Rhinolophus ferrumequinum: one gene and its partners. The protein of the gene in region 1 purifies or fractionates together with the protein of each later gene. This does not show direct contact. Links are inferred from orthologs where the notes say so. Each region holds a gene or a part of one and is shown in the gene's direction. Other genes may lie near its edges.

Region 1 (7,841 bases):
GCTTTCTAAAGGAAGTAGGACTTGTTCTAGATCTTGAAAGAGAATTTTAAGCAAAGAGAGAGGCAAAAAGATGTTGGGTGAAAAAGGAGCAAAGACACAATATCCTAGTTTTGTGGCATAGAGAAGGGATTTGCTTGAGGAGAAGAGAGCATCAGCTTTGGAAAGGTGGAAGTCACAGGGCAGGAGGGTGCCAGAGAGTGGATGCTCTCCAAAGCTAGGCACCAAGAATTTGGCCATGATTCAGTTGGATATAAAGAGTTATTAAAGATTTGTAAGCAAGATTCACTCTTGGTGAAGGCTTAACTGGGACCGGTGATCATTCCTCACTCTAATTTCTAGAGTAATTATCATCGTCTTTAGGTACTAATTAGACACTTAGCTTGTAACTCTTTGCACTTTTAAAATATATAATCTGTTTGAGTGCAGTCTCAGACTCATATGGAGTAGGAAAAGAGGAAATGTTTGATGATGATGAAAGACATGTGTAAGGAAGATTAATTTGGCAGCAGCATATGGCCTGAATTGAAAAGAAGAAAGACAGGAGGTAGGAAAGTCATGAGGAAGCTGTTCCAGAAATGTAGGTGTGAAGGAAAGAATGTAGAAGAGGCAGATAGGAGAAATTGCTTAGGAATTTAATTAAAGGGAGCTGTAACAAATTGGAGTGCAGAGTGGGTTGAAAATTCAATTTTTGAATATAAAGTTTTAAAGGACCATGATGCCACTCAGACAAGATGGAAAACTTTGGAGAGGGTATTAGTTTGGGGGAATTAGAAGAGGAATTTCGTTTTGAACAGGCATTTAAGATAATGACAAGATATTCATTTAGACATGGTCTAGGAAATTGGCTAGATGAGAATGAAGTGGCTATGTGGAGACAGGGTTGAAGCTTTGTTGTGATTTTATTCACTTCAACAAATATTTGTAGAGGCTAATAGCTATGGGATACAAATTGGGCAGGGACTCTGAGGAATCAACAACCTGCTGGAGAAAACAGATATACAAGAAAGGAATACAAAGTCTAATGAAATAAGTGTCCAGAGGAGATTATGTGCTAGGTAAGCAAATTAGATAGCACCTATTCAGTGGTACTGTGTTTCCCCGAAAATAAGACCTAGCCATACCATCAGCTCTAATGCATCTTTTGGAACAGAAATTAATATAAGACCCGATCTTATTTTAATATAGTATAAGACCTGGTCTTATATTATACTATATTATATACGACCGAGTCTTATATAATATAGTATAAGACCGGGTCTTACATTAATTTTTGCTCCAAAAGACACATTAGAGCTGATGGTCCAGCTAGATCTCATTTTAGGGGAAACCCAGTACAAATTTTCTACCCGAGAAAACTGACATATAGTCCATGAAAGCATCCAAAGGTGGCTTGTCCTGCTTAACTTTCCCTGACTGTGTCCTGCTACTCTGGCCACCAATGTCTGGACCCAGGATTGGCACCCAAGCAAAGTCAATGATCTCTAAACCAGGCATAAAGAAGACTAGCCACCAATCAGGTGGCCCATCAGGAAAACTGTATTCCATAAAGGCCTTTCTTATTGAACAGTGAATGACAGATTGCATTCAGATCCTCTTTCTTGGGATGTTTTAAATGTAAGTCACAGGAAGTGGCCTCTAGAAGCAGAGACAGCAGTAGAAGCTGAGAGTGATATGAGAAAGAAGCAGAAAGATATGATTCAGGAGAATGGCAAAATTACTAGAATATGGTCAATAGCTGCCTGTCAGTGAGGGGATGAGCAAGGTACCCAAGACTGTCGCTGGATCACAAGAACTGCAGTTAATTCTTAGAATGAGCAGTAGTTCTGTTATGACTTTCTGAAGTTTCCTTATTTCCTTAACATAATCCCTCAGCATTTGCAGTGCTCTGAACATGTCCTGCCTTTTTATATCTGGTAAGAGCCCAACTAACACAAGGATATTTTTGTTGTCTTGCTTTAATTATACCTTCAGAAGAAGGTATCTCATGAAGAAAAGGGTCAGCATGATCTTCATAAAGCAAGATCAAGAGGATACATGCATGTGCACATGTGTATGTGGCTGCCTCCCCAGAATACAATAGTATAAGGCAGAAAATTCAGAGCAAGCCTGGCATCTCCAGGTTTACACTTTTGTTATTCCTCTCTCTCTTTTCCCATCATGATTACAGTATGGGCCTGTGTCTTTGTCCTTGGGGAGAGCAAAGAAAGGGAGAGTCAGGGAGACTATTCATTGCAGCCACCAGGCTTGAGGAGCAACCCCCAAAAATAGTAGAAAGTGCATTCTCCAAGAGAAGAGAAGAATTTGAGTATCTAGATCAGAGTTTCTCAATGTACAGACTGCTAACCACCAATTTAGGATCACCTGATTTGTTACAAATGAAAATTTCTGGTTCAACTGAACCTTAGACCAACTGAATGGGATATCTGGGTGAGAGGCCTAGGAACTTGCATTTTTAAAGTATGCCAGGTGTTTCATGAAGCAGTTAACCTTTGAGACCCACTGCTCTAAGCTCTGGGTAAAGGACAGAAAGAGTGTTGGGGAGGGGGTTGCTGGCTTCTGTGAAAGCACCCAGGACTGAATGGTGGAAAGGCTTGACAGAGCATATGTTTACACATTGCTGTAGGAGTGAAAGGAAGGAGAGATGAAGTATGTGAGGTGAAGCTGGAGTGTAGGGTCCACGGAACCGATAGTGGGGTGTAGATTTGCTTTGGGGATCATGAGCCTAGATGATAACTGAGAGCATGTGGATGGATTAGGTTTCTACTAATGCCAGAATTTTTATAATCACCATAAAAGTGCAATATACAGCTTTTCCCTCCTCTATATTAGTCCTTTTAAGATTTATGGAGCACCAACTACAGGGAGAACGTTGTATTAGCAGCTGTCAGAGAAAACAAGAGTTTATTGTGTACTTGAAGTTGGACAAAAATAAATCTGTGATTCATATTTAAGAGTGACTACAAAGCAACATCCAAAGAAGTGCAAATGCACTCATTTAACAAAAACTCATTGTGTCCATTATGCGCAGATTCTTTCCTGGACTTCATAGGGTGTGTCTTATCAGAAGGTGACTTGGGTGAGTTTAAAGGCAGATTTTGGTGCAAACAGATTACAGAGAGAGTAAAACACTTAAGAGTCAGAGTTCAGAAGGAGTATACATAACTTCAATTCATTCAACATTCCACAAATATTTATTGAGTGCCTATTGTGTTGTAGGCACTGGAAATATATCAGTAAGTAAAACAGACAAAAATCCTTGCCCTCAGGGATCTTGTATTCTGGTGGGAGAGAGACAAGAAAACAAATGAGTTATGCACTACCTTAGAAAGTGGTAAGTGCTCTAGGGGAAAAATAAAGCTGGAAGAGAGATAGGATTTGGGGGGAAGGATGGAGAGATGCTGTATCATAGATGATCTTTTATGGGGAAAAAAACTCATTAGAAGACATCTGAAGAAAGATTTATAAGTAGCAGTCAGAGGAAGTGTTGTGGATTTATAGTGGACGTGTGTTCCACGGTGTTCCACTTCCTCTCTTGTACCTGCTACCAATTGCTACAACAGGGCCAGGGCAACAGGAACAAATCCTGCAGATTACAGCCCACATATGGGGCAGGAAGAAAGGGTGACAGTTGGTGAAAGGCCTAGGTTAACAGATACAATAGTTGGGATTTAAAATAATTGTTGTATTCGTGTGGACAATTTACCTTTCTAGGTAGCGTATCCACGCAGACTCTGGCTATACTAGATTTAATTCTCATTGTTTGATGTGTTCACTCTCTGAATGTTAACTGGTTAATCTCAATCTTCTAATTAATGTTTGAATGATTTTCCTCAGGTCTAAACTATCAAGGGCATTTGTACTTATTAACTTGGGTTCTGCTGGTGCCATCAGGGGCAATGAATACATTTGAGGTCCCTGTTCAGAGTCACCTGTGACCGTTTCAAAATATCCATTAGAAACAACCACCCAAAACAACAGACCCCTTCCCACATAAGATTAAAGACGAAAGGGTCTGTCAGGTTTGTTTGGGCCTGGGGCTAGGTTCCCCCCCCTCGACCGTCGAGGCTGGTAATAATCAACCTTGATCCGGAAGCCCCAGGGTGGAGCACTGCCTGCCACGTCTCCCCCTCCCACATTTGGTGACTGCATGTTTATTTACATGGAATAAATTATAGTAAATGAAAGTCACAACTGTAGGCCGACCCCGAGGGGTGGCGGGATTTTCGCAGCTTCTCTGTGTAGAACCGAGAGGGGTGCGGCAAAGTCGCTTATGGTTGTCTCTCCGGGGGGGGGGGGTGTGTGCGTGTGTGCGTGTGTGTGTGTGTGTGTGTGTGTGTGTGTGTGTGTGCGCGTGTGTGTGTGTGTGGCCCACCGAGGGTCCGTCCGGTTCCGAATCTGCGGCTGCGGGTTCCGCTCCGCTGCTAGAACCGAGGGGCGGGCGGCCGCTTGGGTCCAGCAATGGCCCCCGCCGAGGCGCCGCCCAGACCCTCCAGCTCCACCTGTCCGGCTCCCTCTCCCTCCGCCACTCTAGCCACGGCTTTCTTCAGTCGGCCCTCGCTCCTCCTCCGCTGGCCTGTCCCCCTCCCCCGGAAAGGCCCGGCCCCCTCCTCCACCCCGGCGGCGCTCGTCGGCCCTCTCTTCCCTCTTCCCTTACCGCCCTCCGCCGCTCCCTCCCCGCACACCCGTCTGGAGAGGAATCGAGCACCGAGCGCGTCGATAGCTCTGCCCTCTGCGGCCGCCCGGCCCCGAACTCATCGGTGTGCTCGGAGCTCGATTTCCCTAGGCGGCGGCCGCGGCAGCGGAGGCACAGCGGCGGCGGTAGCGGCGGCGGTGGCGGCGGTGGCGGCTACTCGGCCAGTACTCTCGGCCCCCGCCATTTCGGACGGGGAGCGAGCGCGGTGCAGGCACTGAAGGCGGCGGCGGGGGCCAGAGGCTTGGCGGCTCCCAGGTGCGGGAGAGAGGTACGGAGCAGACCACCCCTCTTGGGCCCCTGCCCTGGTCCCGACCCTTCTCGCCCGCGCCGGGCGGGGCCGGCGGCGAGTGAATGAATTAGGGGTCCCGGGAGGGGCGGGAAGGGGGCGCGGGCGTGGAGCCGGGGAGAGCGAGCTGGCGGACGCTGTGGGGGTGGTCTGCAGCGAGAGGCGTGGGGACACGGCGACGCGGGCAATGGGGAATAGGCGGTGCGGGGCTGAGGAGGGTGAGGCTAGAGGCGGCCGCCGCTTGTGCTGCTTCCTGGACGGGGAACCCCTTCCTTCCTCCTCCCCTAGAGCTGCGACTGGAGGCGGCCGGGGAGAAACTCGCCGGCCGGGCGGGCTGCCCCTCCGGGCGGTCGGGTGCGGTGGAGGTTACTCCCGTTGCGCTCCAGTCTCCCTTCCCCCTTGTCTCTCTCTTTCTTTTTCTTTTTCTCCCCCCCCACCTCCCTCTCTCCCTTCGCTCCCGCACCTCTTCCTCCCTTTCCAGCACTCGGCTTGCCTCGGCTGCTGCCTTCCCTGCTGCATCTAGCATCTCTAGGACCAAGGAATAAACTTCTCCCTCGAGCGCAGACGGGACGGATAGTGGTCCTTTTCAGTGTGTAGGGGGATAAATGAGTAAGGGGGGAGGTCACGTTTTGGAAGAGTATAGGCAGGTGCTTCGGGACCACTGTTTGAGGTTATTGTGTTTGGGGGAAAAAATGCATCTGCAGCCGAGTTACTGACTGCTCCCCTCCCCCATGTATGGGCTGTGACATTGCTGTGGCCACAAAGGAGGAGGTGGAGGTAGAGATGGAAGAACAGGTGGCCAACACCCTACAACATAAAGCCTGTGACTTAGTGAAAAGAAAAAAGTGAATCCCAGGAGGTCTCCTTTGCTTTGTCAAGTTCAAACACACGCAGAAAACCCGCAGAGCAGAAGCAGGGGCTTTTCTCTTGCTAGTTGAGTAGGCTTTTCTCTTGCTTTTTGAGTGTAGACAGTAATAGCCAAAATCATACTTGAAGTTTAATTTGCTTGTTCTTGTCCTTTCTTTTTCCAGGGTAATCTCTTCTGTATGACCCTGATCCTAACAAATTTGACATCCATCCCAAGAGTTATTACAGTTCTCTTAAACAGCACTCACACAATTTCTTGTCACTTATTTACAAGAGGAGTTAATTGTAGCAATCTGCCAGCCAACTGCTTGAAATAGCTAGCTGGCTTTCTTAAATCTTGATATCTATGAAAACCAGAGGCTAAGGTATTTTATAATTTTAAGGTATTTTATGATTATAAAGGTATTTTATAATTTTTTACACAGTATACATGTTGCATTTGTAATGGAAAATCATTTACAAAGAAATTACAAAGGCAAAAATATCTGTTCATAAATCATCAGAATCAACCGTATGAGTGATGTCACTCTTACGTGACTAATGTCCAAAATGCTGACTTGATCATGTAACAGACTATAGACATCAAATATGGTATCAGAACTGCTTGCTTAAAGATGGTAGATGAGATGATGATTCAGTTCTATGACAAATAAAAGTGAATTTGTTTTTCCTTACCTAAACGTTGGGTTGTAGCTTTTGTAGTTTTGGGTGAGGAAGCTCCTTCTGGCATTTCATCTTCAGTGAGACTACCTGGGAACCCAGTTGTCTGTAGTGGACTTAAATGTTACTTGATTTTTAAAATTCAATTCAAGGATTTTTTTCAGAAACTACCACTGGATAACACATAGACCAGATGGTGTGTCTGCCTCAGAGTTCACACATGTATATACAACTAAGCTCTAATCCAATATCTGTCCACAGGATCTCCTAGGCTAGCAAACTTTTTGGTTTGTAAGGACCCCTTTACACTCTTAAAAATTACTGAAGATCCCAATATGGGGTATGTCAATATTTACTATCATAGAAATGAAAACTGAGAAGTTTAAACATTAATTCATTTAAAATAGAAATAATTAGCCCATTACTTGGTAACACAAATAGCATTTTTTTATGAAAAATAACTTTTTCAAAATAAAAACCAAAAGTAGTTAGAAGAGTGGTATTGTTTCAGACTTTTGCAAATCTCCTTAATTATATGGATTAGTAGAAGGCATCTGGATTCCTATCTCTGCTTCTGTATTCAGTGTACTGTGATCACACATCTGGAAGACTATAAACTTGTGCAAGAGCAAGAGTGGAAATGGTAATTAGCATTGTAGTATTATTTTGATAAAAATTTTGACTTTGACACCGCTTCCCTCCCCACCCCCCCCCCCCACAAAAGCCGTAGGAACCATAATGGACCACATTTTGAGAACTACTGTTCTAGGTTGTCCAAATTGTTTGGCAGAGTGTGGTGGGCATGGAGCCAGAGGATACATTTTGGTGTGAGTCTCCTTATCTGTCCCATTTGTTATGGCCTATATTTGGAATAAAAAGTGGGAGCAAACAGAATAAGATACATATTTGTAGTGGTTCCCAAGGTATCCCCAGACAAGAGCAAGTAAGGCTAGGTGGCACAGAAGAGGCCGGGGAGCTGTAATATAACAAACAGTGTGTGATACAACAGTTGTCTAGTCTGTCTGCTCTTTGTGAGAAGGCTTAGGAATAGGGTGAGGGGGTGGGTTAGTATGTTATCATTTGGAAAACCATATTAGCTTTTTCTTTTTTTTTTTGGTGCCTATTTGAATAATCTTGGTCTTCAGTAAATAGGGTGCTGCATGTATATATTGTTTATATCTGCACATTCATTAATTTGGGACTACTTATGATAACTTATTGTGCATTTACTGCCATTCTGCATTTATATCTGCAGCCTTATTTGTACTAATATCCTGTAGTTCTTGAGGGAAAGGAGATAAAATTAAAGAAATGCATTTTATTTCAAAAAATTTG
Region 2 (7,496 bases), on another chromosome or scaffold:
GGCTAGTGGCGGTGGTGGGGCCATGGCTTCACTCCTAGGCCTATGGCCCCAGCTCCAGGTCAGCTCCTGGTCCGGCCTCTGTGGGGAGGAAGGAGGGTAGGAGTCAAAGTCCAGGACCCCCATGGCAGCTGGAGGGAAGCAGGGGCAAGGCCTGTGGAAAGGAGGAGACAATGAGGGGTGGTCACAGGTACACGAAAGACAGACAGGCCCAGACAAGTTGGGGAGACCCTGAGGATGCAAGGAAGAGAGCAGTTGGACAGGAAGGCCAGCATCCTGAAGGCTCCACACCCAGGCATGCAAACATTCATTCATTTTATTCCCCAAATAATTATTTAGTACCCTCTATGTGCCAATCAGTGCCAGGCCCAGCAAACTCAGCAGAGAACAAAGTGGACAAATATCCCTGCTTTCATGGAGTTTATATGCTAATCAGAAAACAAAAAAACAAGATAAAGAAGTACAATATAGTGCTGAATGATAAGGGCTTTGCGGAAAAATAAGGCGACGGAGAGAGATCAGGATGGTAGAGATATAGAAGAAACAGATATGCAAAGACAGAGAAAAACACAACATACATCTCCAGATGGAGAGAAAGTAACAAGGGGGAGAGACTTGGACACAAAGAAAAGGATAAGGTCCAAGAGCCAGAGAAACATTGAGAGGAGGAGACAAACAGCTTCAATGAAATGAAACCGAGGATGATGAAAGATACTCAGAGAGGAGAGTATGCGTTTAGGGGCTTCTGAGGGTCAGAAAGAAAAGGGAGAAAAAGAGCAAATAGGAGAGGCAGGAGATAGGAGATGTAGACATCAGTAAAGACTAAGAAAGGAATGTGACATGGAGGGACTAAGGGGTCAGAGAGCCAGAGGAGTCACATGCAAGCACCTGCAAGGGACAGGGGCCAAGAGCTGGACCCTAAGGACTGACCTGGACATCTGGCTGAAAGCTCTCCAGGGAGAGAGGATGGGAGCCAGGCCTGAGATCCCCTCCCCAAAGGCCCTCCCCCTGCCCTCTGTCCTTCTTCAGCCTCCTCCCTGCTCACCTTTGTTCCGCACTGCCCCGCCCACCGAGCCACCTATCTGTCCTGCCCTACCTTTCCCTGGCCCAGATTTGCCCCAGACACACCCCCCTCCCCCAACCTTGGACTCACCCTTAGGCCCCACCCCTTATCTCAAATCAGGCTTAGGCACAGAGCCCAGATCTTCCCCCAGTCCTGGGCCTGCGTCTCTGTCTCTAGGTCTCCAGGTCTCTGGCCTGCTCTCCATTCTCACCACCCACAAGGTACCCTAGAGCTGGGCCTGTGTCTCCATCCATAGGTCGCCCCCATAAGCCTGAGTCTTTGTCTCCGGTTTCCCCGGTACCAGGTCTCCACTACCCCCCACCCCCATACACGCCCCGATTTCCACAACCCAATCCCAGACCTGAGTTTCCATTCCTGGATCCCTCAGTCCCGGTTCTGGTTCTCCATCTCCATCCCACACCCCTGTTACCCCAGTCCCGGGCCTGCGTCTCTCCGTTCCTCTCGGTCCCAGGGTTCCCCAGACTCGGGACCCTTCCCAGCCCCCGCACCCTCCTCACACGCCGGGTCCTCCTCCAGGCGGCCCCTCAAATCAGCACCAACCACCCCGATCTGACCCTAGGGTGTGGGGGGAGTGTGCATCTGCTGAGCCAATGGCCGCGTGGCTGGCCTGAGCCGCACCAATGAGGGCGCGCGGGGGTCGGGTCCAGCCGACTCGCTAGTTTGGCGCAAGGGCCTGCCTACCGCCAGAGAGCCGAAGAACTGGGCGGGGCATCGCGCTCGCGAGATCAGCTGCCATTGTAGGTGAGGGCACAAGCGCAGCAGAAGGGGCATCACGGCCCAACGGCCAGCTACTGTATCGCCATCTTTGTTGAGGGCAAGGGCCAGTCCCATCCATTGGGTTTATTAAAAAGGGGCATGAAGGCGGTCTTCAGCTGCAGACCCAGAGAAGCAGAGTCAGAGTCAATAAGAGACTCGAAAACAGTATTGTCTCTTTTTCAGATAGAGTGAGAGAGAGAGAGATGCAGAGAAAAGCGAAGATATACACAAACACAGACAGTAGAATTAAGAATGTGCAAGATAAGGACTCGAAAACCCAGAAAACGACGGACACAGACAGAGATAGGAACAGATAATTCTGGAATGAAAACCAGAGAGAAGAAGCTCATTAATTCACAAATTATTAATAAGCCATAGGTATATGATGTACAGCATGGGGACTATAATCAATAATATTGTATTAACTTTGTATGATGACAGATGGTAATTAGACTTGTGATCATTTTGTAATGTATATAAATATCAAATCATTTTGTTGTATACCTGAAATTAATATAATATTGCATGTCAATTTTTTTAAAATGTTAAACTTTTACCTTGGGCCCAAACCAGAGCGGAGGAAACCAGAGCGGAGGTAGCATGACGAAAACATCTGCTTAGGGAATGACTCAGTTACAGAGCAAGACAGAGACACAAGGAGAAAGACCGGAAAGACAGTATCTGAGAGAGACCTCTAGGTCAGGGGTTGGGAGTGGGGGGTAGAGAATACTGGAGGCCCAGAGGCTAAGAGGAACTGAGACCAAGAGACGGAAAGCAAAGATGTTGAGAGGTAATGACATGGTGAAACAGAAAGAAATAAAGGCAAGAATAGTATCAGGAGACCTAGAAGCAGACAGAATTGTAGAAAGAAACTCACATGCTTAAGGAGATAGGGACGAGTTTGCTGGAAAGATAAATGGAGGAAGAAGTTAATTTATTGCCAAACAATGTACCTTGTGTTCAACCCAGAGTAGCAACAGCACCAGATATGTGCCAAAGAAAGACCCAGAGAGAGAGAGAGGGACAGAAACCCAGTAAGAGGAAGAGACAGGCAAACACAGCACCTGAGCTTGGGGCCCTGGGAGAAAGAAAAGCAGGCATACCAATCAAAGAGGCTGGGACTCAGAAATAGAGACCAAGTCACACAGACGAGGGAACAGGGACAAGGAAGAGGAGGAAACTGTGTCCCATGGTACTGTAATCTTGATTTTCAGATGGACCCTTACCTGGTCCCACTGCTCCTGTGTTTCAAGGTATCCATTCATCTGCTGGCCCTCTGCTGTGTTCACATCAGCAAGACCCTGGCCCTGGGTCAGAAGCCATGGGAGGTTGGTATGGGTAAGGAGTTAGGCCTCACAGTTCAGGCCTGGCCTTTGTATCTGTGGAGGAGAGGTGAATAAGTACAAGTGTCAAGAGTAGACTACAGGAGGCCAGGCTGGATACACATGCCCCTTGGAGGCCCAAGGAGGCAGGGGAAGAAGAGAGAAGAGGTCAGCTTTGTCACTGCCCCACCCAGTTCATCTTGTCTCATCCACTAAGGGCCAATAAAGAGGGATAAAGCCTAATTTTACTAAGCACTTATTATGTGCATTGTCCTAAGCATTTTTACTAACTTATATAATGCTGAAAAACACCCTATGTGCCAGGTCTATTGCCATCCCTTCTGTAGCTAAGGGAAGTGAGGCACAGAGGTTAAATGACTTGCCCAAGGTCACATTATTATTAAGTAGCACAGCCAGGATTTGAATTTGGTTACAGATGGCATCGACATCTTTCTATTCTCTGCTCCTCCCTGATCTCCATCTTCCCCCTCTTCCTAGGTCTCCTCACTCCCTGGGTCTCCATTCCCCCTACCCTAGGTCTTGTCCACCCCCGCTCTGGGTCTCCATTCCTCCTCCCCTCTGAATTTCTGTCTCCCTCTCTTTAAGTCTTTCCTCCCCTTTCTTTCAGAGTTTTTACCCATCCCCTCTCTCAACTCCACCTCCCAATCCCGGGACCTCAGCGTGCCTCCTCCTTGCTCCAGTACCGTGCACATCCTTCACAACAAACACGCTGGGCCACTTGAATCTCTCTGCTGGAAAAAGCAGCCCCCAGGTGACAGAGGCTGAGAAGGGGTCAAGAATGGGCCATCTGGGGGCAGAAGGAGAAGCGGAATCTAAAAGGTGGAAATAGACTGCTATAGACTTGGCTGCAGCAAGAAGATTTCAGGTTATAGTAGGACTTCCCGAGCCGCGGCTGCGCCTGGAAAGCGCAGCACGAGATAAGGCAGAGGTCAGCCTAATATAAGGAAATCCCCTAGGCGTGCGGTCAGAGGTTTTCTGGAAGTCCGGGCTAGCCCTGCCTACCCCGCCTCCTCACCTCCAATACTCGGCCCGCCCGGTCCTCCGGAAGCCACAGAGAGGCCGTCGGCTTCGGGCCAGAGCGTCACCACGTGATGACTCGTCCTAACTCCGCGCGACATCTCCCTCACGCCCATATCCCTTCCTTCCGGAAGAGTATCGAGAACAGGGACTGAGTAGGGCCAGAGAGGCCCCCAATGTGCTGGTCCTTCCCTCCTTGACGTAGCCCCTTTTCTTCTTTGGTGGTTCCCCCCGACCCCCGCCTCACCCTATTCCGGAAACGCCCGTCTAGCCGGCCACCTAATTCACCATAGAGAGGGCCGACTCGCGGTAGAGTGGTACGTCGCGCATATGTGACGTCATGTGGGCGCCGCTTGCTGAAGGCTTTCCCCGCCCACAGCGGCTCCGTTCTCTCTTTCCGGACCTGTGGAGCAGGAGGCGCCATCATGGTGAGCGCGCTTTGAGGCGTTCGGAACTCTACTATCCGCCGCCATCCGCCGCGGTCTCGCGCTGGGGGCGCGCCACAGGGAGGCAGGGATTCCGGGGGTGTATGAAGGAGGCGATTCTTGCGGTGGGGGTGCAGTTTAACGGGGCCTGAAGACCAGGGATTGGTCAGTCGTATCTATCTCCAGTTCCTCCCGTGTTCCTCCGTTGTAGCTCCCATTGAATAGATCCTCAAATTGAGGTACGAGGTGGTTAAATGATACGACCAGGAAGAAAATGTCAAGAACTGGCGGAGCCAAGATTCAGACCCAGGCGCTGGTTCCACAGCCACTCTTATCTGTTGCCTTGGATGCCTCTTCCTGGACGTTTCACTCCCCACCCTGAAAAGTTGGGCTCTGGTGGGGAGTTGGCGAGCGTCCAGTGCCCGGGTTTTGGGGCGAGGTAGGCCTCGTGCGAGTGTCGGCTCGCAAAACCATCCTGTGGTTTTGCTTTCCCAACCCATGCCCCACTTTCTCCGTCTGTTCACTGGGGACAGTAATTCTGTCTCACAGATTTGATTTTGGAAAGAATTAAGTTGTAGGAAGTGCTCACCATAGGTTCTTGCAAACATGCAGTATTGGTTAAGTGGGAGCAATTGATAATTAAGTTGTTCTTTACAATTTATAACATAGTCCAAAAAGAAAATCCTCAGGAAAGTAAGCAGGTGGTGTAGTAGAAATGGTGGGCTTTCCAGAGTTTTCTTAGCGCTAAAGTCATAAACTATCTCATAATGTTTTTGGTTTCAGGGAAACCAAATGACAGATCGTTCTAAAATTGGTTCTGTACAGATCAATTTCTAAATAAAGGTTTGATATTACTTGGCATTTGCCCTTGTTTTTGATTCCCTCCATGTGTGGGAGCAAGTATTGGGAACTTAAATACTTAATTGTTGAAAAATACAATTTCTGGAGTTAAAATTTTTTCTTGAAATGAATGTGGCTACTGTGTTAAAGCTTTCACGGTGCTATGTGTTGTGTGCTGCAGGATTTATATTAGAGTTAGCCCCTTTTTGCAGAGCAGTCATTCGAGGCCCAGAGTATTTACGTGATTTCTAGAGCTCTCCCAGTGGTGAGCTTGGGATTTGTCTTTTTAGAGACCGGAGCTTCATCTAATATCTCCGAAAGAAGTAATAATTGAGAACAGTTATGGGTGAGGAATCTGACAGCAGACTTAACCATGGTTTTGCCTTCACCCGGCAGGGAGTCGACATCCGCCACAACAAAGACAGAAAGGTTCGGCGCAAGGAGCCCAAGAGCCAGGACATCTACCTAAGGCTGTTGGTCAAGGTGAGGTTGGGGACTGAGATGGCTGGGTAGGACCACCCTAGACTGCAACTTTCAGGGCCTCCATCCTAGCGTTGGTCACTGGCTCCTCGCAGGGGCTTGCAGGACAGGCTCTCATCTCTGATTCTGCCCCAGAGCATCTGGAAGTTCAGTGTTTTCAGCCCCTGGTCTGTGTACAGCGAGGGGGTGGGGAGGGAATTTTCTGGGTCCCTGACAAGGAAGAACCTGGGCCAGCTCTCTCCCTGGAGCTCAGTGGGAGACAGACAAAATCATATGTTTGCCCATTCCTTAGAAAGTTGGGGGGGAGGGGGAAGTAGGAGGCCCCAGGTTCTCATTCCTCCTGTTCCTTTCATATCCAGCTATATAGGTTTCTGGCCAGACGAACCAACTCCACCTTCAACCAGGTGGTATTGAAGAGATTGTTCATGAGTCGCACCAACCGGCCACCGTTGTCCCTTTCTCGGATGGTGAGGGGCTCTTGGGGGGAGCATAGCCAACCTGGGGGTGACTGGGTCACATGGAGCTGGGCTCTGGGAGGAAGGGTGGGCTTGGAGCTCTGACCCTCAGATTGTAGCTTAATAGCCCACTGGTTATTCAACTGGCTTGGCCTCTTGGTCTTGTTCTTTTTCTTTGTGAGGTGGGGGTGGTTACAATGGCTTTATGAGTTTTTCCTGAGGCTTCAAGTCATACAACAAGATCTTACGTGTCAAGATCCCTCTATAGGAGAGGTCTGTTGAAAAATCTGTGCTTGCATTTTCTCTGGAGATTTTACTGGGCTGAACCTGTGGTTAGGCCAGTGCTAGTTTGAGAGACATGGCGTGGATGGGTTTAGCTCCATCAGGGCACAACTGTTGGTCTTTGGGATGCTTGAAGCAGTGGAGTTGGATTTAAACACCAGAAAGGAGTCCTTAATGTGCATTTCTCCTCTTCCCCCAAAGATCCGTAAGATGAAGCTTCCTGGTCGGGAGGGCAAAACTGCTGTGGTTGTAGGCACTATAACCGATGATGTGCGTATCCAGGAGGTCCCCAAACTGAAGGTGAGTGGCGAGGGGCTCTGCACAGTGGGTATGTCGAAAGCATGGGCTCAGGGTGGAGTCCTGCAGACGTGGCTCATCCTCGTCTGCTGTGGGGCCCTCAGGCTCGTGCTGTATCCTCAGTCTCACCTCTGGGTGAGGCAGGCATCACACCTACCAGGTGGCTTTGGGGACTGAAGGGGACTTATCATTGGCATCATTGATGGTGGTGTCCCTGAGCAAGCCCCTCTGGAGCCCTGTTGACAGTGCTGGCTCTTGAACTTGCCTGCAGCCTGGGTTCAAATCTAAATTTCTCTGCTACTTTTTTCTCACCTCTGGACAAAGTCCTGGATCTCTTTTACGTCTCAGTTTCTTTACATGTAATAGCTGTAGCTTCTAAAAGTGGTAAAAACAGTTGATGTCAGCTCTGGAAGCTTCTTTTAATAGTTGGTGGTATTGGTTATTGGGCTGAGCAAGTAGCTGGGCTTCTCTGCTGGGCCAGGGCAGTGGACAGTAAGTCCCAGCAGCTCGTGGATGGCTA
Region 3 (7,185 bases), on another chromosome or scaffold:
TCAATTATTTTATTGGGGGAGATCTGTTCCTCGAAGGTTAACTGGCTGTAGGCAAAGGGAAGAAACTGTTAGAAGTCAGGTGTGTTGGTAAAGGAGTCAGAGTACTGAAGGCTCTACCCAACAAACATTCTGAATCCAGGGATTTCATAGTTCTCCACAGTACCATTCCTCCCGGCTCACTTGCCATTTATTCAAAGGATTCTGGAGGCCAAATGGGATGGGATTCTTTAGGTTATCAACCAAGAGTCTTTAGGTCTTCTCTTAGCCAAGGCATCCAGTGAAAACGTAATTTATTTTTCAGAGTCCTCTGGAGGATTAAAAAGTTTCCTTCGCATCATGTTGCCATGCTCCCTGCTCTTGGTCCTCTTTTCCATGTACTCATTCTTCAAGCATTTTCTCATCTCCCGATCAAGATCATTGCAATGACCAAAAAATTTCAGAATGCTGTGCCGACTTGATGTCACACCGAGAGGGCTGAAGCAGTATTTACCAGCGAAGATTCTTCACACGAAGGTCGACTGCCTGGGCGCCAGGGTCGAGCCACCTCCGGGTGGCAAAAGCTCCTGCACCCTCTACAGCTGACCCTGCTCCTGTGAGGGGATTTTTTAAAATTTATTTTTTATTTTACTTTCAAGCCGAGGTTGGTTAAGTTCGTGCATCCAAAACCTGGATATGGAGGGCTGACTATATTTGTTAAATTTCCAGATTCCCTGGAAATTTCTTCTGTTATTCATTTCTAGTTTCATTCCATTGTAATAGAAAAAGATACTTTGTATGACTTCAGTCTTTTAACATTTATTGAGATTTGTTTTATGGCGTAATATATACGGTCTCCAGTTCCTTAACTTTACTGATGAACATGAACCTCAGAGGTGAAATGACTTGTGGAAGGTACAAGCAAATAAATGGGTACTTATTTAGTTATAGAATTAGAATTAAGATTGATTCTCAGTCTTTTACCATTGAAATTTGATGTTTGTTTAAAGTGTGCAGGGGCTTAATTTGGAATGCAATAAGGAGCCACCCAGTCTCCTTTGTTGGCTCGTTTGCTTTCACTTATCTCTTTTATTTTTATTTTTTTAAATTTTTATTGGGGAATATTGTGTTTCTCCAGAGCCCATCAGCTCCAAGTCGTTGTCCTTCAATCTTAGTTGCAGGGGGCGCAGCCCACCATCCCATGTGGGAATTGAACCAGCAACCTTGTTGTTGAAAGCTTGCACTCTGAGACATCTGGCCGCCCCTCCGGAAGCTCAGCAGCAGCTCGTTGTCTTCAATCTAGTTGTGGACGATGCAGCTCACTGGCCCACGTGGGAATCGAACTGGCAACCCTGTTGTTCAGAGCTCGCGCTCTAACCAACTGAACCATCCGGCTGCCCTTCACTTATCTCTTAAAAGTAGGTATTCTCCAAGGTTTTGTGCTTGGTTCTCTTCTACCTCCATACACTCTCTACCTGCTTCCATGGTAGCTTCCCTTCAGTTTGGAATGCCTGTCCCCTTTTCCACTTCCATGCTGGTTACTTCTACCAGGTGATCTTTGAGAATCTTAGAACCAACATATGCTAAAAGGAACTGTGACTTCTCTTTATTCTATCAGCACATTTTTCTAGCATTCCTTTTTTGTTGTTGTTAATGGGACTACCACTCATTATTCCAGTGACTCAGGGTGGGAGAATGAAAAGTCAGTTTTATTTGTTTTTCCTCTCACAAGATCTCCACATCTGATCAGCTACAAACTCTTATGATTTCTCTTTGTAGTACTATTCCTATTTGTTCTTCCCTTCCTATTTTCTCTGCTACCATCTCTTACCTTCTGCCTGGATTAGTGTAATAGCCTAAAAATCTATCCTCTTCTTTAGTCACTACTCTACCATACTTAGTAATCCTTCTAATATATATGATGTTAGATAAACGATGTTGGTGTCATCCTCCATGCAAGTCATCAAAAAATAGCTTCCTTGTGCCCCCTGAATAAAGTGCAAACGTCTTAGCTTGCCATTCAAGGCTCATCATAATTTGGTTCCAACCTCCTTTTAATTCCACATTTATTGCAGACCCTATCACACAGCTTATGTCCTAGTTACCTGAGCTTACAACAGTTATTGTATTGAGTACAAGCTGCTGGAATCCATTGGGAAGCAAAACAGACCAGGTCCTTTCTCATTCCTGCCTCCTCAATCTCAATTTGATCTTGGTCCCACTCTTCTGCACCTTGCACTCCAGATTAAGTTCCTCTATTAACCTCCCCGTTCCTATCCATGGTGGGCCTAAGGGGAAGAAGAAGGCTAAAGCGCAGGGGAAGAAAAAGATTGCCAAGTGATAGGGTAAAGTTGGTGTGAAAACTGGAGTATTTCTTTCCCTACCAACTGTAACTCTTTACGCCGGAGTTAAAAGGATCTGGAAAAGGTCCAGGACTGAGCTTGTCTGAGAAAACAGGGACAATGTAGGAGAGAGGTTGGTTTCAGTGAGGTAAGCCTGCCATTAAAAAACTGTTACATGGGTTCAAAGAGGATTTTATGAATTTGACTTCAAAGGCAAGGGAAGTAAAATCTGAAATAAATGAATTGGGACCATATCAGACTAAAAAGTATATGCACAGCAAAAGAAACCGACAAAATAAAGAGACAACCAATCGAATGGGAGAAGATTTTTGCAAACAATGCTTCCAATAAGGGGTTAATATCCAAAATATATAAAGAACTCATACAACTCAACACCAAAAAAATAAACAATCTAATTAAAAAATAGGCAGAGAACCTGAATAAACATTTTTCCAAAGAGGACATACAAATGGCCAATAGACATATGAAAAAATGCTCAACATCAGTAATCATCAGAGAAACGCAAATAAAAACCACAATGAGATATCGTCTCACACCAGTTAGAATGGCCATCATCAACAAGACAGATAATAACAAGTATTGGAGAGGCTGTGGAGAAGAAGGAACCCTCATATACTGTTGGCGGGAATGCAGACTGGTGCAGCCATTATGGAAGGCACTGTGGAGGCTCCTCAAAAAATTAAGAATACCGTGTTTCCCTGAAAATAAGACCTAGCCAGACCATCAGCTCTAATGCATCTTTTGGAGCAAAAATTAATATAAGACCCGGTATTATATTATATACAATATAATATATTATATTATATACAATTACTATATTATATTATAGTAAAATAAGACTGGGTCTTATATTAATTTTTGCTCCAAAAGATGCATTTAGAGCTGAGGTTCCAGCTAGGTCTTATTTTCGGGGAAACACGGTAGAATTACCATATGACCCAGCAATCCCTCTCCTGGGTATCTACCCCAAAAATCTGAAAACATTTGTCCATAAAGATATATGTGCTCCGTTGTTCACTGCAGCTTTATGTACGGTGGCCAAGACATGGAAACAACCAAAGTGTCTTTCGATAGATGATTGGATAAGGAAGATGTGGTATATATACACAATGGAATACTATTCTGCCATAAAATGAAATAGTGCCACTTGCGACAACATGGATGGATCTTGAGATTATGCTAAGCGAAATAAGTCAGACAGCAAAAGTCGAGAACAATATTCCATTGATATGTGATATATAAAAGTGAAAACAGCAAAGGAACAAGACAAACAAATGAAGAAACAAAAACTCATAGACACAGACAATAGTTTAGTGGTTACCAAAGCGTAAAGGGGGATTGGTAGATGAGGGTAAAAGGGATCAAATATATGGTGATGGAAAGAGAACTGACTCTGTGTAGTGAACACACAATGTGATATATAGGTGATGTATTACAGAATTGTGCACCTGAAACGTATGTAACTTTACTAACAATTATCACCCCAACAAATTTTAATTAAAAAATAAATTAAAAGAATGAAAAAAACAAACCATTACAGACTCTAGTTTTCTCTGTCCCAAATCCAGGTGTCGGTTCTCATGGTCCAGGTTCCCTCGCTCACTCTCTTTGGGCGCGGTCCGGTCGTGCCTCGCCTCCAGCATCTCTCGCTGCCTTGGGGCCGCTCTCCCTGCGCTCAGTCGCAGTTCCCGCCTCAGCGATCCCGCACACGCTGAGCCCAAGGAGGAGGGGCATCTAAGCTGGGTCCAGCCCCTTCGGGCGCTGGGCTCTGGGCTCCCGGGCCCGCCCCCCGCGCCAGTTGCCAGGGAGCGGTTGCCATAGAGCTGAGCAGTTGTCCGCGTGCGCAGGCGGAAGTCCCGGATTGAGGCGCCGCCATTTTTGCTGCCCGGACGCGGAGGGAGAGGCTGAGAGAGTCGGAGACGCTATCCGCTTCCATCCGTCGCGCAGACCCTGCCGGAGCCGCTGCCGCTATGGATGATCGGGAGGATCTGGTGTACCAGGCGAAGCTGGCCGAGCAGGCTGAGCGATACGACGGTGAGTTGGGGGGGCAACGGGGGGCTGGAATTCTCGGACCCTCTGCCGCCGCCCACAGAGGCCGGGAGCAGGAGACAAAATGGCGGCACCGTCGCCGATCCTGGCCCGGGGACGTGGATTCGGGAAGCAGGAAATGGCCTGCGGTCTCCCGGAGCGGTGGGAGGCCCCAGGCCCAGGAATTTGACCCCTTCGGTGTCCTTCGCCGCAGACACTTGCGAGCCTAGAGGCCCAGGCGATAGGGTGGAGGAGTTGGTTGTAAAATGGCGGCTAGGGGGAGGGCGAGTCCCGGGGCGGGGGAGGGGGAAGAGATGGCGGGTGCTGTCTCCGGGCGAGCAATCCCCAGGGGAGCTTCTGGCCAGTCTTGGGATGTGGAGAACAATTGGGTGGGGTAGTGGGGGAAGAAACACCCGCCACATGGGGGACAGTGGCGACCAGGGGCTGTAGCGCGGGCGCCTTTCAGGGAAATATGGCGGGTGGGGGCGGTGGCTTTTCCCCGGAGGCCCAATGTGGGGCGGCGGCTGTGGAGTCTCACAAAGGAGAAACCTTAGGAGCGGAGGTCTTCTTGGGGCTTGTGGTCGGAGGCAGTCTTGAATGAGAGTGGGGGAAGGGGAGAGGGTGGGAATCACTGCAGTTCATCCTTGGGCGGAGGCCAGCTGAGATGCTGCGATCAGATTTCTTTCCCGTAGGCCAGCACACCTTGTAGTGAGGGTTTTTTAGGCTTCACATTCAGCCTCGCTTTCTTCTGGGGAAATCGAGCAAAACCTCCCTCACGCTCCCTCCCTTTCCTCAGACTTATCCCGGAGACCTCGAAGTTCCTGTAATTTTTTTTTTTTTGTCTATTAGCTGTGGGTTGTGGTGTATAGAACATTGAACTGGGAACAAGGAGACCATAACTCTTAGTCCCTTTCTAGTGCCTGTCTGTCTCTGTCTCCAAGTTTGTTAAAATGACTTTGCTGTTGACACACACCATTATGACAAATGGAAAAAGACCTGTTGAAAAATAAAGTTATTTCAAATAACGTTTAGTAACTGCATTTTGGTTGAGCGCCCGGGCTTGGAATGCGTGTTCTTACCTCATGGAGGATCTTAACCTATCACAAGCACCCAGCTGAGGCTTGGGGTTTTGGATTATGAACATCGAGGGGCCCAGCAGATCCTATGTATATTTTTTTCCATTTTGAATAAATGGTTTTGTGTACAGATTTGAACAGTTTTTCTTTGTTCACTGATCCTTCGTCCCTGAAGGTTCTTTCGTCATTTTTCTGAACTTTATCAAAATGCCCATTGTGTCTGTTTAGTCCATTCCAGGCGGCTGTTTTTGAGTCGCCCTCCCCACCCCCCATTTTGCACTAGGTACTTGAATGACCTCCACATGCGTTAAAATGTACAGAAAAACAAAAAGTTACATATGGTTTCTGTGGTTCTAATGCAGTTGTGGGATGAGACATTGAAATCAAGTGCCATTGATCTTTAGATTTTTCTTAATTAAGCCACTTACTTTTCAAAATATTATGTAGGGTCCTTGCTTTCCTTGAATGCCTGTTGGTCACGTGCATACCCTCAGGGCTAATCCTAGCGTAGGGTTAGGATTCACGAGTTTGAAATGAGGAAAAAAGGCCTGGAACTGAAATTTTGGAAAGATACTGCACTAAATTTCGTTCTGTAAATCCTAAAATTGCTGTTGGTACTGAACAAGATTCTTGTTGAGAGGGGGAAGGGAATAAGATGGGGAAGTACAGCTCAAGGTCAGATTTGTCTTTATTTCACTGTGTAAAAAAGGCAAGTGTAGGTGTGCTTGTAATGGAACTCTCCATCCCCATGCTGCAGATGGGTTCCCCTCTCCATCTACCCGTGCCCTTGGCAAAAAACTTCATATTTGAATGCTTTCTGTTCTGTAGGGATTTAGGCTCTGAGTAAACTTGCTGTGATAACCAAAAAGAGGACATGGAGGAAGGTTCTAAAAACTGATTTGGAAGCTCATGATTGTAGTTTCCAAATAAATGACTGTTTAGTGATAATCATATAATACTTTGGAGTTGAGTACTGAGGATTTTTGACCAAATGTCTTACTGGGTGTTCAATGTAGGACTCTATAGATAGAGCTTCATCGTTACATTGTACAGTTTTTGGATCTCCAGGATCTAAAGGGAGGAATAGATAGGGTTTACCAGATGGGGAGGAACTCCTGTGACTGTTGGGCACAAGATAGGGAGGGATTCATTGGGAAGGAAGCAGAGGAAGAGAGTCATCGGGAATCAGATTTTTACCTGTGTCCACTCCTTTATTGGGTGCAAAAATTCATTGTTTGTGGTGACAAAAAATTATCCCATAGTTTTGGCCACCAGAAAAATTTTCAAGTGTGGGGAGTGGAGGAGGTGAGAATGCATTTGAATGATTTGATTTTGGGTACGTGGATATAAATAAAATAAAATTTCTCGTTCCTGCAGTACCTTTATCTGTAATTTTGCATGCTGTGTTGAACCAATACTTAACACTTTTTTGTAGCGTCATTTAACTCTATCCTGGGGACTTGGAGTCGATTTATATGGTTTATTTAATGGTACTGGAGGAAAAGCTAAGCTGTGTTCAGAAAAAGGACAATTTTGGGTTGCAGGTAGGAAATACCTGAAGTTTGGGGCTAGGATTGTTCACCTTGAAGGTTAATCTAGCATCCCATCACTTAATGTCAGTCTTAGCATTCCTGAACTAAGTCTTACTGTCTGATTTATATGAACCACATTAGTACAGAAAAGTGGGGAATATAGCAGGGGGAAAAGAGTACTTTTCACATTTTTTGAGAGTAGAGAGGTCT

What was found. Proteins that work in one complex are often made in the same cells at the same time.
Region 2: the proteins of KRAS (region 1) and RPL18 purify together in Homo sapiens (affinity purification with mass spectrometry; 3 studies listed by BioGRID and IntAct, with this or other methods). This does not show direct contact. The link is inferred for Rhinolophus ferrumequinum from reciprocal best matches to the Homo sapiens genes KRAS and RPL18.
Region 3: the proteins of KRAS (region 1) and YWHAE purify together in Homo sapiens (affinity purification with mass spectrometry; 4 studies listed by BioGRID and IntAct, with this or other methods). This does not show direct contact. The link is inferred for Rhinolophus ferrumequinum from reciprocal best matches to the Homo sapiens genes KRAS and YWHAE.

The regions. Positions count from the first base shown.
Region 1 is NC_046293.1:36,538,636-36,546,476, reverse strand, and holds the start of KRAS (GTPase KRas), read left to right. Parts: upstream 1-4,829; 5' UTR 4,830-4,961; intron 4,962-7,841. UniProt on the Homo sapiens protein: Ras proteins bind GDP/GTP and possess intrinsic GTPase activity. Plays an important role in the regulation of cell proliferation.
Region 2 is NC_046298.1:44,113,995-44,121,490, reverse strand, and holds the start of RPL18 (60S ribosomal protein L18), read left to right. Parts: upstream 1-4,496; 5' UTR 4,497-4,622; coding exon 4,623-4,625; intron 4,626-5,858; coding exon 5,859-5,945; intron 5,946-6,301; coding exon 6,302-6,409; intron 6,410-6,880; coding exon 6,881-6,979; intron 6,980-7,496. Other genes in the region: SPHK2 (sphingosine kinase 2), read right to left, coding at 1-151, 3,064-3,098.
Region 3 is NC_046304.1:16,474,231-16,481,415, forward strand, and holds the start of YWHAE (14-3-3 protein epsilon), read left to right. Parts: upstream 1-4,185; 5' UTR 4,186-4,309; coding exon 4,310-4,373; intron 4,374-7,185. UniProt on the Homo sapiens protein: Adapter protein implicated in the regulation of a large spectrum of both general and specialized signaling pathways. Binds to a large number of partners, usually by recognition of a phosphoserine or phosphothreonine motif.